2 linked regions of the Caenorhabditis elegans genome follow. The protein of the gene in region 2 purifies or fractionates together with the protein of the main gene of each other region. This does not show direct contact. Each region holds a gene or a part of one and is shown on either strand. Other genes may lie near its edges.

Region 1 (7,619 bases), on a different chromosome or scaffold from region 2:
AACCTCACATTTATATTTTTAGTTTGAACTTACAACATCTACACCAATTGTTTTAACCCTAAAATCTATATTTTCCCAGACGGAAATAATGTTTAACCTAGAGAAGTGTGCACATGATTGACACGAACATGACTTTTTTACTGTCTTTTTCTTACGTTTCTCCCGTTTTCTTCTCTCCGTCTCTTTCCATTTTCTTATCACTACCATAATTTTGAAAATCCATTTTATCAAACGTGCTCCATTGAATATGAAGGATATGTATGACGTCATCACTTAATATTAGTCACCACTTGATTCTTGACGTCTTCGTCTTATTCTTCTAATGGCATGATGATAGGAAATGGTTTGAAGTACTTCTACTTCTACCTTATTACCAAATTGGATTAGTTACAGTATGAATGGTTTATGTTATCTTGTGTTTTCCTCCTTTACACTTTCAATTAATATGTTTGTTGTTTTCGCTAGAGTATTTTTTGTCTGAAAAAAAAAACAAATGGAGCATCAGCAAAAAGTGAGAAAATAATAGAGTTCGCATCTCGAGACGACAAGACGTCATTTCTTTGACGTGGATTGATTTGAAAATTAGAGAACTAGTGATAAGAGAGAAAGAAGCATCCGACCGCGTGATGACCTGAATTGATGAGAGATAATGGAAAGGTGTCGACGATTGATGAGTCTGGATTTAAATTCTGATCTTTTGTCAATTTAATATTTATTGATAAATTAGCTAGTCTGAAAAAGTGAAGTAAATGTATTTTACTTTACAAAATTTTTTTGCAGTTGTTCCATAACTTGAAAAAATTGATAGGGTTGTATGTATTGCACCAGTAAAAATATATATTTGCAGCAGACTTTTTTGCGGACTGCATAATTTGATAATTTATTTCAGAGCAGAATTAACATAATTATGAGCATGTTGGTTTTCTCTAAAGTAGTCTAGATTTCGGTTTTGGTGAAGAGGTGAAATTGAGTGGAGAAATTGTAAACATCAATTTGGGAATTTACCAAAACTCTTTACCGCGACAAAAAATTCAGAATTTGAATATACCTCCATGGAAGCGATTATATTGTGCAATTATAATTGTGTAATATATCCTCTTTACCTTCTTCATGCTTATCCCCAATTTCCTCCCTCTCTCTTCTCACCTCATTCCGTTGATTAAAGAACCAATTGAACGCCCGCAGGCTTCGTTGTGGGTAATACAGTAATGTGATAGATTGTATGCCTGCCTATGCACATACACAAGTATGTGCTCTACCATTGCATATTCTGAGCTCTCCTCATTTTATACACTCTTCACAAATATCCACTCCATTAGAAAACCATCTGTCCGTTTGTGTCCCCAACCGGGAGCGCGAGGGGTGGATTGACCGTAGAAGGGACTGCCATCTGCATTTCTTCACTTCCCCCCTTTTCTCCAGCATACCATTCCATTATTTCCTCGATTCGTGCCCCGTCTCTATTCTTCTTCGATTTTACCGGTAATTCCTTGTTGTACATATTTGTAGAATGCATTATATACTTTTCCAGACTACCGTATTCCCTCGCGTACCCAGTTCTTATTTCAAAGATTATGAACTCAATGTTTTGTTCAGAGTTGCAACAAGCGCTGCCGCAGGTGATATATTTTAACCTGTTTTCATTCAAATATTCTGATGAAAAGCACGATGTCTTAGTCAGCCGATTCTAGAAGTTTTTATATTCCACGTTGCAGTTTACCTATAGAACGTGACAATATGTCACATGAACAAACTGGTTCTATTGATTTGATAGGAAGTTTGATTTTTTTTTTGAAATAAGGTTTTAGTTGCAAAAACAACTTAAAGTGAAATTTGTATGTATTTAGAAAATAAAAACTTGAAAAATATGTAAATATTTTCTTTGTTTTTGTCAGCACTTAACTGAAAAAAAACCACAAACCGTAAATGAGGTGTCCCATTTGTCCTTGTTCAGATAACTAACCATACTCCTCCAATTACCAATTTATCCGAATTAGCGCCCCACACACTCCTCCACATCCACACTATCTTTCGCTTTTGATTACTTTTTTCGGTAATATCTGTCAAGGTGGCTGGGTTCGTCGTCGTAGTCCTGTACTGTTTCGTCGAGAAGGTCACCATATTGGGGGAAGAAGTAAGAGACTGTCTTTTGGCGCAATATCACTGTTGTGTAGATCGCCTAGTTTCTTGTCTCGAATAACATGAAATGATAGACAGAGTTCCCTATGACACTCTAAGTCTCGAGGTTCTTATCACTTTATCGATTAGTTGAACAGCTGGCTGTCTCCTATCATCATATATCCACCTTGTTTTCTTTCCGCCTTCATGACTCTTTTCTTCCTGAAGCATCCCTTCAAACAATTCTCTATTTTCTCTGTATCCAATGACTCAATATTCTCAAATCTCAACCTAATTTGAATAACTGACAACAGTAAAAAGACCTCCGAATGCAAAAGCAGGAGTAATTAACCTAGGAAGAAGCAACCAGGGATAGTCAATCAAAATGAGATGACATAGATCTCGAGTTGACATGTTTTTTGAACCAATCTCGGAATATTTGCATAATTAGTAGTAGTATTCCCATAAGAGCAGATTTGTAAATATTATAATAAGTTGCTTGCAGATGGTTGGTAGTAAATTTTATTTTACTGCAAGTGAATATTTATTTCCAAATGTGTTAATATTTTTTTAGTTAAAAAATTTTATACATATTTTTGAGAAAGTTGTTTTCGAAGTTTTGATACTGTTTTATTGCAAATAAAAGTCGGAATTGCTCCAAATTTTTAAACAAAACTTTAGTATTTTAAAAAATTTAGAAAAATACCACATGTTTGCTCTTCTACAATATTGAAATACATAATTAAATCATATAATTTGTAGTAAAAATTAATTATTTTTCGGCCGACTTACAAAATTGTGGATTGCAAAAATAGAGAAATCGCCACTTGTTTAAAACGGAGTTTTTAATTAATGTACATTATGTTGATTGATGAGGTTTCAGTGAAATTTTTAAATTAAAAAAAAACACTGATTAATTACTTTACCTATTATGAAATAGAAAACAATATAAAAATGTCAAAGCTCATAATGCACCAAATAATTTTACCAACCTAGACTACCTGCCCAAAATACAGTTTGCCCTCAATTCTTTTTAGGATAATCTCTTTTAGAAGTTAAGTCTACAACATGATTATAACGACTTCACGGTACTGATCACTCTCTTTTCTCTGAATCCATACTTCCAACCCGCCGTTCCTTCTTCATCATTTTCCATTCGTTTTCCTCCGTCTCTTTTATCTTTTTCTCATCTCTTTTCGTTTGTCGATCTGGACGATCCGATGCGTCATCCTTAACGCTTCTCTTATTTCTTTTCTTCATCTCCTTCTTGAAAGTGTCTATCATTTTTTTTCTACTTTATTTCCTGATTCCATCATATCTCCTATGTGTTCATTAAGTATCACTAATTATTCCATTAGTCCCTTTCCCACCTGCCATCCATCTTCGAGGTTTTCCTTGTTTAGTCTGGTTTATTTGTTTAACAAAAAAAAAGCGTGTTGGAAAAATGCGAAACCGTCTGCGTTCGCTAGTTTGAAAAATTTTAACAGAAACTTCCAATGTTGAGTTGGATTTAACAAGTTAGATCTCAAAAATATTTTTCAAAAAATCTAGAAAATTCGGCTTGAAAAAATTGCTTTAAAATCCGGAATAAATGGAAAAATTCCGCCATAATTGTTTTCATCGACAAAGATTGATTTATGGAAATTCAAAATTTGAAAAAATATTTTTTAAACTGTTTTCAAAAGATAACTGAGTAACAATTCTGAAAAATCTTACAAAATTGGTTGCCATGACAACAACCTCTACAAAAAACAAATGACCTCAGCTTCTACATTTCTTCTGCATATTCCAATTATTTATTTTATTTCACATTTGACATGACCGTCTGAAATGAAACAATGAAGACGTTGGTCTTTTCTTTTCTCTTTCTTTTCCCACCCTGAAAACCACGAACATACATTTTTCAGTTCAGACGTTTTTTCTGCAATTGCATTAAGCATTGATGATGATTCAGCATTCACAATCATCGATTTTTCCTCCTTGTTGATTTGATTTTGTCCGTTTTTTTCTGCTCCCACAGAAAAAAAACGCACAACAGTTACCTGTCTTCTTATCAATTTCCTTTTACGTGCCTATTCCTCTTCTCTACCTATCACATGACCAAACTTTCAGTACCCCGGACATAAATGCCACGTCACACTTTAGACATTATCACATTTTTCTCATCTTTTAAGCAAAAGCTCTCAATCTCTAAGGTCTATGCTCTTCAGTTAGAGATCGTAATTTTAGATACCGAACACGGGGTGAAAACCGAAAAACTAAACTCTTTTAGCTCAAGATTTTTTCCATATCTTCTCTTGCCTGCCATTCACTTTTTTGATGGATTACGGTAGATTTCGTTCAACTTTTTTGCATTTCAGATGTCGGAAGACGTAGCAGTCACGGCGCAAACAATTCTCAATGGGTAAGTTGAATTTTGTTGGGCAGGGCGGAGTCAGAAGGTGTCAGAATATGAATAGATGAATAGAACTAAAGTGTCCCATCATTGCAGAACCCCGCCCCATAATCATTTTCGAAAAGAGTGGCTCGCTGGAGCAGCAGGAACGACAACGCCCACGACGACCTCTGGCGGACAAATGATGACGGTTTGTGATAAAACAATTTTTTTTTCGAGTTCTTCCCATTGAGATTTTATTGACTTAAAATCTTTTGATGAAAAAAAAGTTTATCACAATTTTTAAAAGCTAGAAATTTATGCCATTAAAATATGATTTAAAAAAAAATCATAAGTGAAAACTAGAGAACAGTGATTGATTTTGCAAAATATCTGAAATACTTTTCAAAACAAAAACTATTTCAAATCTTATATTTTAGAATTGGAATATACATACAGTATTTCATCTAATTGTCTTGCACCTCATTGCTCAAGTTTGAAGCCTTTTAGCGTTCTTTGAGCTCAAGTTTCAACCCCTTCTGATACCAGCTTCAAATTCCCAATCAGACACTTCTTTATCCTAAAACATGGATTTCAGCTCTCCCCTCCCGCCGGTGACGGACCAGGTTCCGCTGGCTCAATGGCTCCCGAATCGACTTCTTCCCTTTCCGACTTGTCTGGTGACGCGGAAGGTGTGTGGAGTATAGACATTGATCAAGCATTTCAAGAAGCGTTAGCCATCTATCCACCTTGTGGACGAAGGAAAATTATCATCAGTGACGAAGGGAAAATGTATGGTGAGTGAACTGTCTATACATAATTGGAGTCATACAAGTGGTAGAAGAATGAATACATTCACATTACTGTGCATCTGCCTTCATTGAACATCTGCCCATATCCATGGGATAGAAACTTCTTTTCCATTTGACTTTTCTTTCTAATATTTATTATTATTATGATGTAAACGGATTGAACCGGCAGACAGAAACCGACAAAAGAAGAGAGTAGAAGGTACTACGGGATTAGTAGAGACCATCTTTCCATCCTTTCCGTGCCACTTCTCCATATTCCTTGTATTTGTTTATTTTCGCTGCGGGAAACCACGGGCGGCTCTTTCTCTCTCTAAGTCTTGACTTTTTGACCCTCCCGCGCAACCAAAATCAACAAATCGTTAGATTAGATGTTGGAACATAGTTTGTTAGGAAAATGTGATTAGGGGGTTACCGAAGTATCCCAAAGTATCACGTTTTCAGCTGTCGGTTAAAGTATTTAAAATTTAAAATTGAAATTAGATTTCAAATTTTATTTTAAAATAGAAAAACCTCTGGAAATTTTAAAATAAAAACTAAAATTATCAGAATTATAAATATTGAGGAATATCAGAAACGTAGCGTGTCTGTAACTGCTCTCGCTGGACTTTGTGCTCTGCCACGTCATAAAACACGAATACTGTCTGCGCAGTGCCCGGCAGTAACAAACAAAAAGAGTTTGCACATTTGTTTGATTTTCAAAAAAAAAGAAACCTTTTTCCACAATGATGACAACTAAAAGTTACACAGACGCTGTTTTGAGACTACTGTAGAACAGCAATTTTGTTAGACTTCTTAACAATGCCCGTTACTACGGTTATCAGTTTGATCCGCTTTTATTTCGTAAAAATTACCGGAAAACATAATGTTATCAGAGAAAATTCCATAGTCTTTACTCACTTAATTTATGTGATAAATTTGGGTGGGGTGATAATTGATACGCAAATATAATTAAGAGGGTTCAAGTTTTCAATACAGTATTTTTTAAAAATAATCTTGATCTCCCTATTAGTCTAGCCAATTAAATAATAGTCCTATAGAAAAATACAGAATTTAATCTTAAATTTTAACAATTTCCACTTTGATTCGTGAAATCTTTTTTTAACATAGAATCTTTCAAGTCGACGTCACCCTTATTTTAGTTATTCCATCGTCAGACCTGAATTTTTCACCTGTTCGTTACCTGATTATTTCTTCCTCCTCCCACATTCTGATTTCATTATGAGCAACATTCATTTACTTGTTTGAATTTTATATGTATATATATTTTCAGGAAGGAACGAACTAATCGCTAGGTATATCAAATTGCGATGTGGAAAAACGAGGACTCGGAAACAAGTGTCATCACATATTCAAGTACTTGCTAGGAAAAAGCTCAGAGACGAACAAGCAAAAAAGAAGGTACCTTTTCATCTGAATACGGTAGTTTAATTTACTATATGTCTAACTGAAATTCATATTGAAAACTTTTCAGGGTGATATTCCCAGTCTTCTTCAACAAGCTTCACCTCCAGGAGGAGTTAAATCTCCATCAGCTGTAGTATTTCCGCCTGTTTCCGCAGCTGTCGCTGCAATCACTGAAATTTCTCCACAAAGTAGCTACTCATCAATTGTGCCAAAAGTGGAAACCGATCAAATCTCCCAACAACTATTTAAATGTTAGTTTTTTATGCGATACAATTATTGCATCAAACTAATTTTCTCATGTTTCCAGCTCTTCCTTTGTGGTCATTCCAACAAACTCCTGGATTACCTATCGGAATGGATCTATCACAACTTGTTTTCCAACAATCCTCTCCCGACAAAACAGTTTCACCTGTGAAATCAGAAGTTGTAGAAGAAACGAAACCAATCGCTTCTTCACAATTAACACTTCACAGCTTCTCCGCATATGTCAAATGTAATAAGACAAGTTTAAGGACAGAACTCGTGAAGATTGAGAATACACTGGAAAAAGATGATATTGACATTTCTGTATTTTACGAAAAATATCCGAAATTACTTCGAGAATTGTTCGAGAAATCCGAGAAAAAGGATGTCTTCTTCCTTGCAAAGTGTTGGGCAAATATTAATGTTTCGGATGATGTACAGTAAGTTATATTGAATGTGATTGATAATTAGTTTTGACTCAAAGAAAACCTTTTAGAAACTGTCAATACGCAGTCGACTCGTTCTACTCAAGTCGTGAAAAATTCCAATTAAAGGTCTCAACAATGGCTTGCTCATTTGGAAACCAGGCAGTTGAAAAAATAGAGGTACGAATATTATGAGCTAAGCGGCAATGTACAATCGGTTGATTTTTCAGCAATACTTCCCAA
Region 2 (5,517 bases):
AAATTCCTCCCTGCAGTACAAATTTCTATTAATACTAACAAAACATTTTGATATACCTTCACAATTGCAGTTTTCCTATCAATTTCTTCTTCTTCCTCCTTGAAACGAAGCAATCTACCACTAAAAGTTGTTCTTCGAAGCGCTCGTTCTGACATTTCTATTCTGAAATTTTTCCTAAATTATTACATTACAAATAAATTGAAAAATAGAACGTAAAATGAAATGAAACAAAAAAAACGACATCGGTAAAATAATAAAATGGGGAGGGGTATAGTGGAGCGTGTTTGCACACTCCAACTGATGCGTGGTGGTGACGTCAGGAGAGGAACGCTCTGTAGCCAAACACAATATACAACGTGTGCATAAATTGAGAAATCGATAAATTGTTTATTTGGAACCTTGAATAGCAGAAGTCAGAAACTGTTAGGCATATTTTAAAAAGTTTCAGAATACACAAATCAACAATCGTACATGATATCAAAAAAATGCTTGATGATCTCTTCCATTTTGTCTTATTTTATTTAAGTGTAATTAGACGTAGAACAAAAAAAGAAAATTTGAGCGGAAAATACAGAAAAATCACATCACAAAGGTATTTTGAACTAAATTGCAGCTAATTGTGGAAGAAAGGAATTGGTGACTCTAATATGGTAAAGCAACTGAATTCATTTGGAGTTTTTATTCAAGAAAGGTTGAAAATTCTCTTTTCAGATCCATTAAGTAAATCAAAGTAAGTCAAAAAAATCAAAAAGTCAACTTTTTTAATCGATAAATTTCTTTTTGGCAACTTTTATGATTAGGAAATTGTTAAGGTTCACTACTGAATGACTACGTTTTTGCAGGGGAAATTTCAAAGAAAGTATGGACAAACATTGATAATGCAGGTATTGGAAACGGGGTTGAGCACATGATCACATATAATAAGGAAACAATTGAAAAACTTTCTGATGAATCTTCAAGTTTCAAATTTCAAATCACAAGTCGCTATAATCTAGACACAGGCACGTTTTAGAGAGAGAGAGAGAGAGAGAGAGAGAGAGAGAGAGAGAGAGAGAGAAAGAGAAAGAGAGTGGTTATTCTGCTGATTAGACATTTATTGATAATGGTGCACCATTGATCCCACTCCTCGATTGTTATCGTTGCTAATTTGTAGATACTGGTCGAATTCGTGTGGATTGATATCCTGAAATTAGTCTAAATAATTGAGTATAATGAAAAAAAAACAAACATCGATTACATAATTGCTAGGCATATTATTATGCATATGTGGTTGATGCTGATGTTGTAGTTGCTGGGGGTGTGATACCATGGAATAATCGACTTCCATCGCACTGTCGTCGTTCATTTGACTCTGAAAAATATGTTTTTGATTTGTTCTCAAAGATAAACTTAAGTAATTATTAATATCAATTTGAGCTGTAACTTCAGCCGTTCCTTTAATTATTAGATATTATTAGATAGTCTTGGTTAAAGCATTATCAACAAATAATGGCTTTTTTTTTTTTGAATTTAAGGCACGTTTTAGAGAGACTTCAAAATTTTTCAGCTTACAAATGTCATAAGATTGGACAATTACGAATTTCTCATTTTACATCATAATAAATATCTTACATTTTGGTATTGATTTGGGATCTGGTGCAATGTATGCGGTGTCTGTTGTTGTTGAGAGTTTTGAGCCTGTTGTTGTTGTTGGTACATGAAATTTGGATCATGAGAATGCTGTAATTGGTTATACTCAATTAAATTTGTTTTAGTATCTTAAGAACAAATACCATCATAGTTGATGACATGGGGGAAATTGCTTGATATGGTGGTTGCGGACTGTCGACAAGTCCAGAATTGATCAGCTGCGCGTTCTTCTCTTGAATCATCATTCGTTCGTTTTGTAACTGCTGAATATAATCCATTTGCTGCTGAGAAGAGTATTGTGGTTGTGGATGATTGGGAATCATCTGCTGGTGCTGATGAATTGAGGGCAATGATCGAGACGAGTGTCCATTGTCGTAACAATTATTATATCGGTTTTGGCCAATGTTTTCTCCTAATCCAAAACCAGTTTGTTCTTGTTCTGAAAGTTGAAATAAATTAATATTTAATGTGAACAGATTGTAACCTTAGTTATTTATACTAATTTTTCTGAAGAAAAACAGGGTATAACAATCAGTGAAAACGTGTAGAAATGTTTTCTAGTATTGTCAGAAAAAACAGAGCTATATATGAATAAGACTCAGTAAAATGTTCGATGAAAATAGAGATTTTCAAAATATTTTATAAATATTTTGCAAACTTTTTTTGTTTCATCGTATGTTATAAATAAAACTTACGTTTTAGCCTAGGATCATCCCACGTTGTTGTTTTTGAGTTATGATCCTTAAAGTACCGAACTCCATCACTGTCGTAACACATTTCCCATCCTTGGGGCATGGGTAACTGCTCAACATCCTGTGGTGTCATAAATGGCCTTCTCATTGGGTCTAGCGATAAGCTCTTTTCCCGATTTTGTTGCATCATTCCTTGTTGTTGTGGTATTCTGAAGTTGATATTAGAAATGAAACAGAAATATTCTATGGCATACTCCGAGAGTCCTGCATATGAGTAATTTGCTTCATGAGATACTGATTTTACGTGAGAAGGTACTGGAGAGTAGCCAATAGTCATTGGTAATGCAGAAACACTCTGTAAAACTCTTTTTTAGTTTAATCAACAATCATAGTTTTTCTCACTTTTGAGTGTTGATGGTGGACATTGTGATGAGATGGATGTGGTACTGTTGCGGAAGATTGGCTACAAATATTTGTGATTTGAATTGTCTCAAAATAAATCGTTTACCCATTATTAACACTCGTATGAAGGTTCGGTGCACTGACTTGTCGTGTGTGAATCGGTGCTTGGTTTGATACCATATCCATAGCTGGGCTGACGGCTGTTCGACTACTTTCATCTACTGATCCCTGAAATTTCACCCGGTGTGTTATTCTTCAAAAATTTAAACTTACATAAGGGGAATGTGCACTGCTTCCCGGATTCCGCTTCTGATGGTAATATGATGAAGGTAGTGGATTTTTCTGAAAGTTGAAACGAGGCATGTGATTTTCAAAAAAAAAACAACTTTTTGCATATCCATTAAACCAAATTAATTATTATCCTTGTTTTGCGATATACCCCATTATCAACTGTAAAATCAAACTGTTACAAAAGTGTTGCGAAATAAGTAGCTTCTTTGTCAATTAAGGCAAGTGTGACGCAATCAAATAATAATTCTTGTTTCGTACGAACAATTTGACCCGTAAAAACAATTTGAGTGTAATGAAATGTGATCTCAATTTTTTTCAGTTCTATTATAGTTATATTATTTTTTAGAATTTGAACAAACCTTTTGATTTTGATTTTTTTCATACTTTTTTTCTGAGCATGAAATTAAAGCATGAATACTCTGATTTGGATCTAAATAATGATGCACTGAGAATTGGTTTTTATCTTGCTGTGAATTTTCTTGGTGCTTCTTATGAATGCTCTTGGACGCCATCCAGCCTGCAAAAATTGTATTTAGATGTGAATAAATGAAAAATTTGAAATAGTAACAAAAAATGAAGAATGTGAAATCAAGAAACAAGGTGAATCGTGCAAGGAACGAAAGAACGAAGGCAATAGGAAACCAATAATAATGTGTTACAAGATGGAAAAAAGGCAAAAAAACGCGAGAGAATAGTTGGGAGGACATGAAGATCGGAGGCGTTTCCATCCCTCACATCCGGCAAATAAAACATGATGGACAGACACCATTTCAATTTCAGTAAAATGGAATAAGGCAGCAAGAAAAAATAAATAAAACGAAACAACTAAGATCGAAACAACAACAAAAGTTCTCCCGATGCTTCTTCTTTCTCGATCGTTCGCCCCCGCCACGGATGTAAAAGGTCAGTTTTTGTATATAAACGAGAGGAAACGAGAAATAGAAAGGAAAACTAGAGGAAAAGTAAAGGGGGGGGGGGGAGTGACAGTTTAATACAATTGCAACCGAATCAGAAGGAGACGTCGACTTGAGGTGCGAGAGAAGATAGGAACACGAAATCGTGTGTCTAGAAGGTCAACCAATTGTTCGTGTATGTGTGGTGCGACTGATGCCTCCACCTTCTTTTCCTCTATTTTCCCCCACTACTCCGTCGTTCTTCCCAATAACTTATTATGATCAGTTCAGAGATAAGAAAAAAGATGGACTGATCCGACCGCAGGATTGTAACACTCGGAATCTGGGAAGAGTTGAAAGCTATCATCTACTACTGGAAACCCTAGCTGTGGAATAATTGAAAAAGTGCTTTTCACAATAAATTACATTGTACAAATTGATTAAAATAGATTGAGACAACTGCAATAAAAATATTTTTCAAACTAAATTGTTATGTTTTTTGAAAATTTGTTTTTAAGTTTTTCAAAGAAATTAACATTTTCACAGACCAAAAATAAAAGCTGTTGACAATATAATCAAATTGGAAACAATACGTGTTATAAAGGTAATTGCGCTTGATAATGAAGTTGATTAAACATAACTGGAACGACTGTCTTGAGATATGTACTTTCCTAACTAAAAGCTTAATTATCTTAATTTGAATTTTAATATGGCTCGCCATGAATTGTTTTATTCCCGGCATCATCAGTAAATAAAATGAATCAGATCGGTCAAGTTCAGTACTCACAAAAAAATCGGAAGCCAATAACTGGTCTCTAAAGAATTTCAGGACGCTCTGGGGATCCCTAAAGTTTTCACAAAATTTGTTTTATGAAATTTGATATTTGTTAATTTTTAAAATAATTTTAATTTCAAAATAAAATTTGTATTCTTTTGAGAAATTTCATAACATTCGGTTTTTTTTGAAATATAAAAAATATACAGAGGTCTATAAAAGTTACACAATGGTTTATTACACCTAACTTTTTTGATACTTATTGATAAAGTTTTTGGAACGGCTTATTTGAATGGTATCAACAGTTTTCTGAAAAAAAAACAATTATCAAAAAGAAGTGCAACTTAAAACAGAAGGTTGGGCTGTAGAAGTTGAACGCACCGTTCAACATTTGAATGTACAAGTGTTGAACTTCCTCAAAAATCTCAAAAAATAAATTTATTTGGAAACAATTTTCTATTTGTGCTACAAATTTAAAACTCAATAATAAATACTATTGGAGGCTCAAAAGTTGAACAAAAACCCATCCTTTACGTCACCAAACTTTTCAACAAATCAAGATGAAATGTTTCCAAAACGTAAAGAGTCGCAGAGTCTCGATCCTTTTAGAACTTATGTTTGTACTGGGTGTTACATACAATGCCACAAGTAGTGCACAAACAAATACGCCGTTCGCCTCTCTTTCTTCTTCATCTTCTTCGACTTTCCCTTCGATGGCTAACATCGTAGTCCGTTCCGAACTGATTGAACCGAAGTGAGATAAACAATCAAGTTGACCACAACATCTTCTAACGTTTTTTTTTTTTGCTGTGACTGATCACACTCTTTTATAAGT

What was found.
Region 1: the proteins of yap-1 (region 2) and egl-44 purify together in Caenorhabditis elegans (affinity purification with western blotting, with the first as the bait; one study listed by BioGRID). This does not show direct contact.

The regions. Positions count from the first base shown.
Region 1 is NC_003280.10:5,931,963-5,939,581, forward strand, and holds the start of egl-44 (TEA domain-containing protein), read left to right. Parts: upstream 1-1,574; coding exon 1,575-1,619; intron 1,620-4,478; coding exon 4,479-4,522; intron 4,523-4,609; coding exon 4,610-4,703; intron 4,704-4,954; exon of another isoform or gene 4,955-4,975; intron 4,976-5,084; exon of another isoform or gene 5,085-5,090; coding exon 5,091-5,289; intron 5,290-6,574; coding exon 6,575-6,723; intron 6,724-6,775; coding exon 6,776-6,959; intron 6,960-7,015; coding exon 7,016-7,391; intron 7,392-7,447; coding exon 7,448-7,556; intron 7,557-7,606; coding exon 7,607-7,619. UniProt on the Caenorhabditis elegans protein: Transcription factor. Binds to DNA sequence motif 5'-CATNNNNAAATGCAT-3' as a heterodimer with egl-46.
Region 2 is NC_003284.9:10,689,957-10,695,473, reverse strand, and holds yap-1 (Yes-associated protein homolog 1), read right to left. Parts: upstream 3,532-5,517; 5' UTR 3,527-3,531; coding exon 3,374-3,526; intron 3,066-3,373; coding exon 2,997-3,065; intron 2,952-2,996; coding exon 2,830-2,951; intron 2,785-2,829; coding exon 2,724-2,784; intron 2,677-2,723; coding exon 2,576-2,676; intron 2,531-2,575; coding exon 2,325-2,530; intron 2,069-2,324; coding exon 1,773-2,068; intron 1,720-1,772; coding exon 1,612-1,719; intron 1,352-1,611; coding exon 1,229-1,351; intron 1,184-1,228; coding exon 1,094-1,183; 3' UTR 501-1,093; downstream 1-500. Other genes in the region: plpp-1.3 (Phosphatidic acid phosphatase type 2/haloperoxidase domain-containing protein), read right to left, coding at 1-10, 57-155. UniProt on the Caenorhabditis elegans protein: Plays a role in thermal stress response and in aging.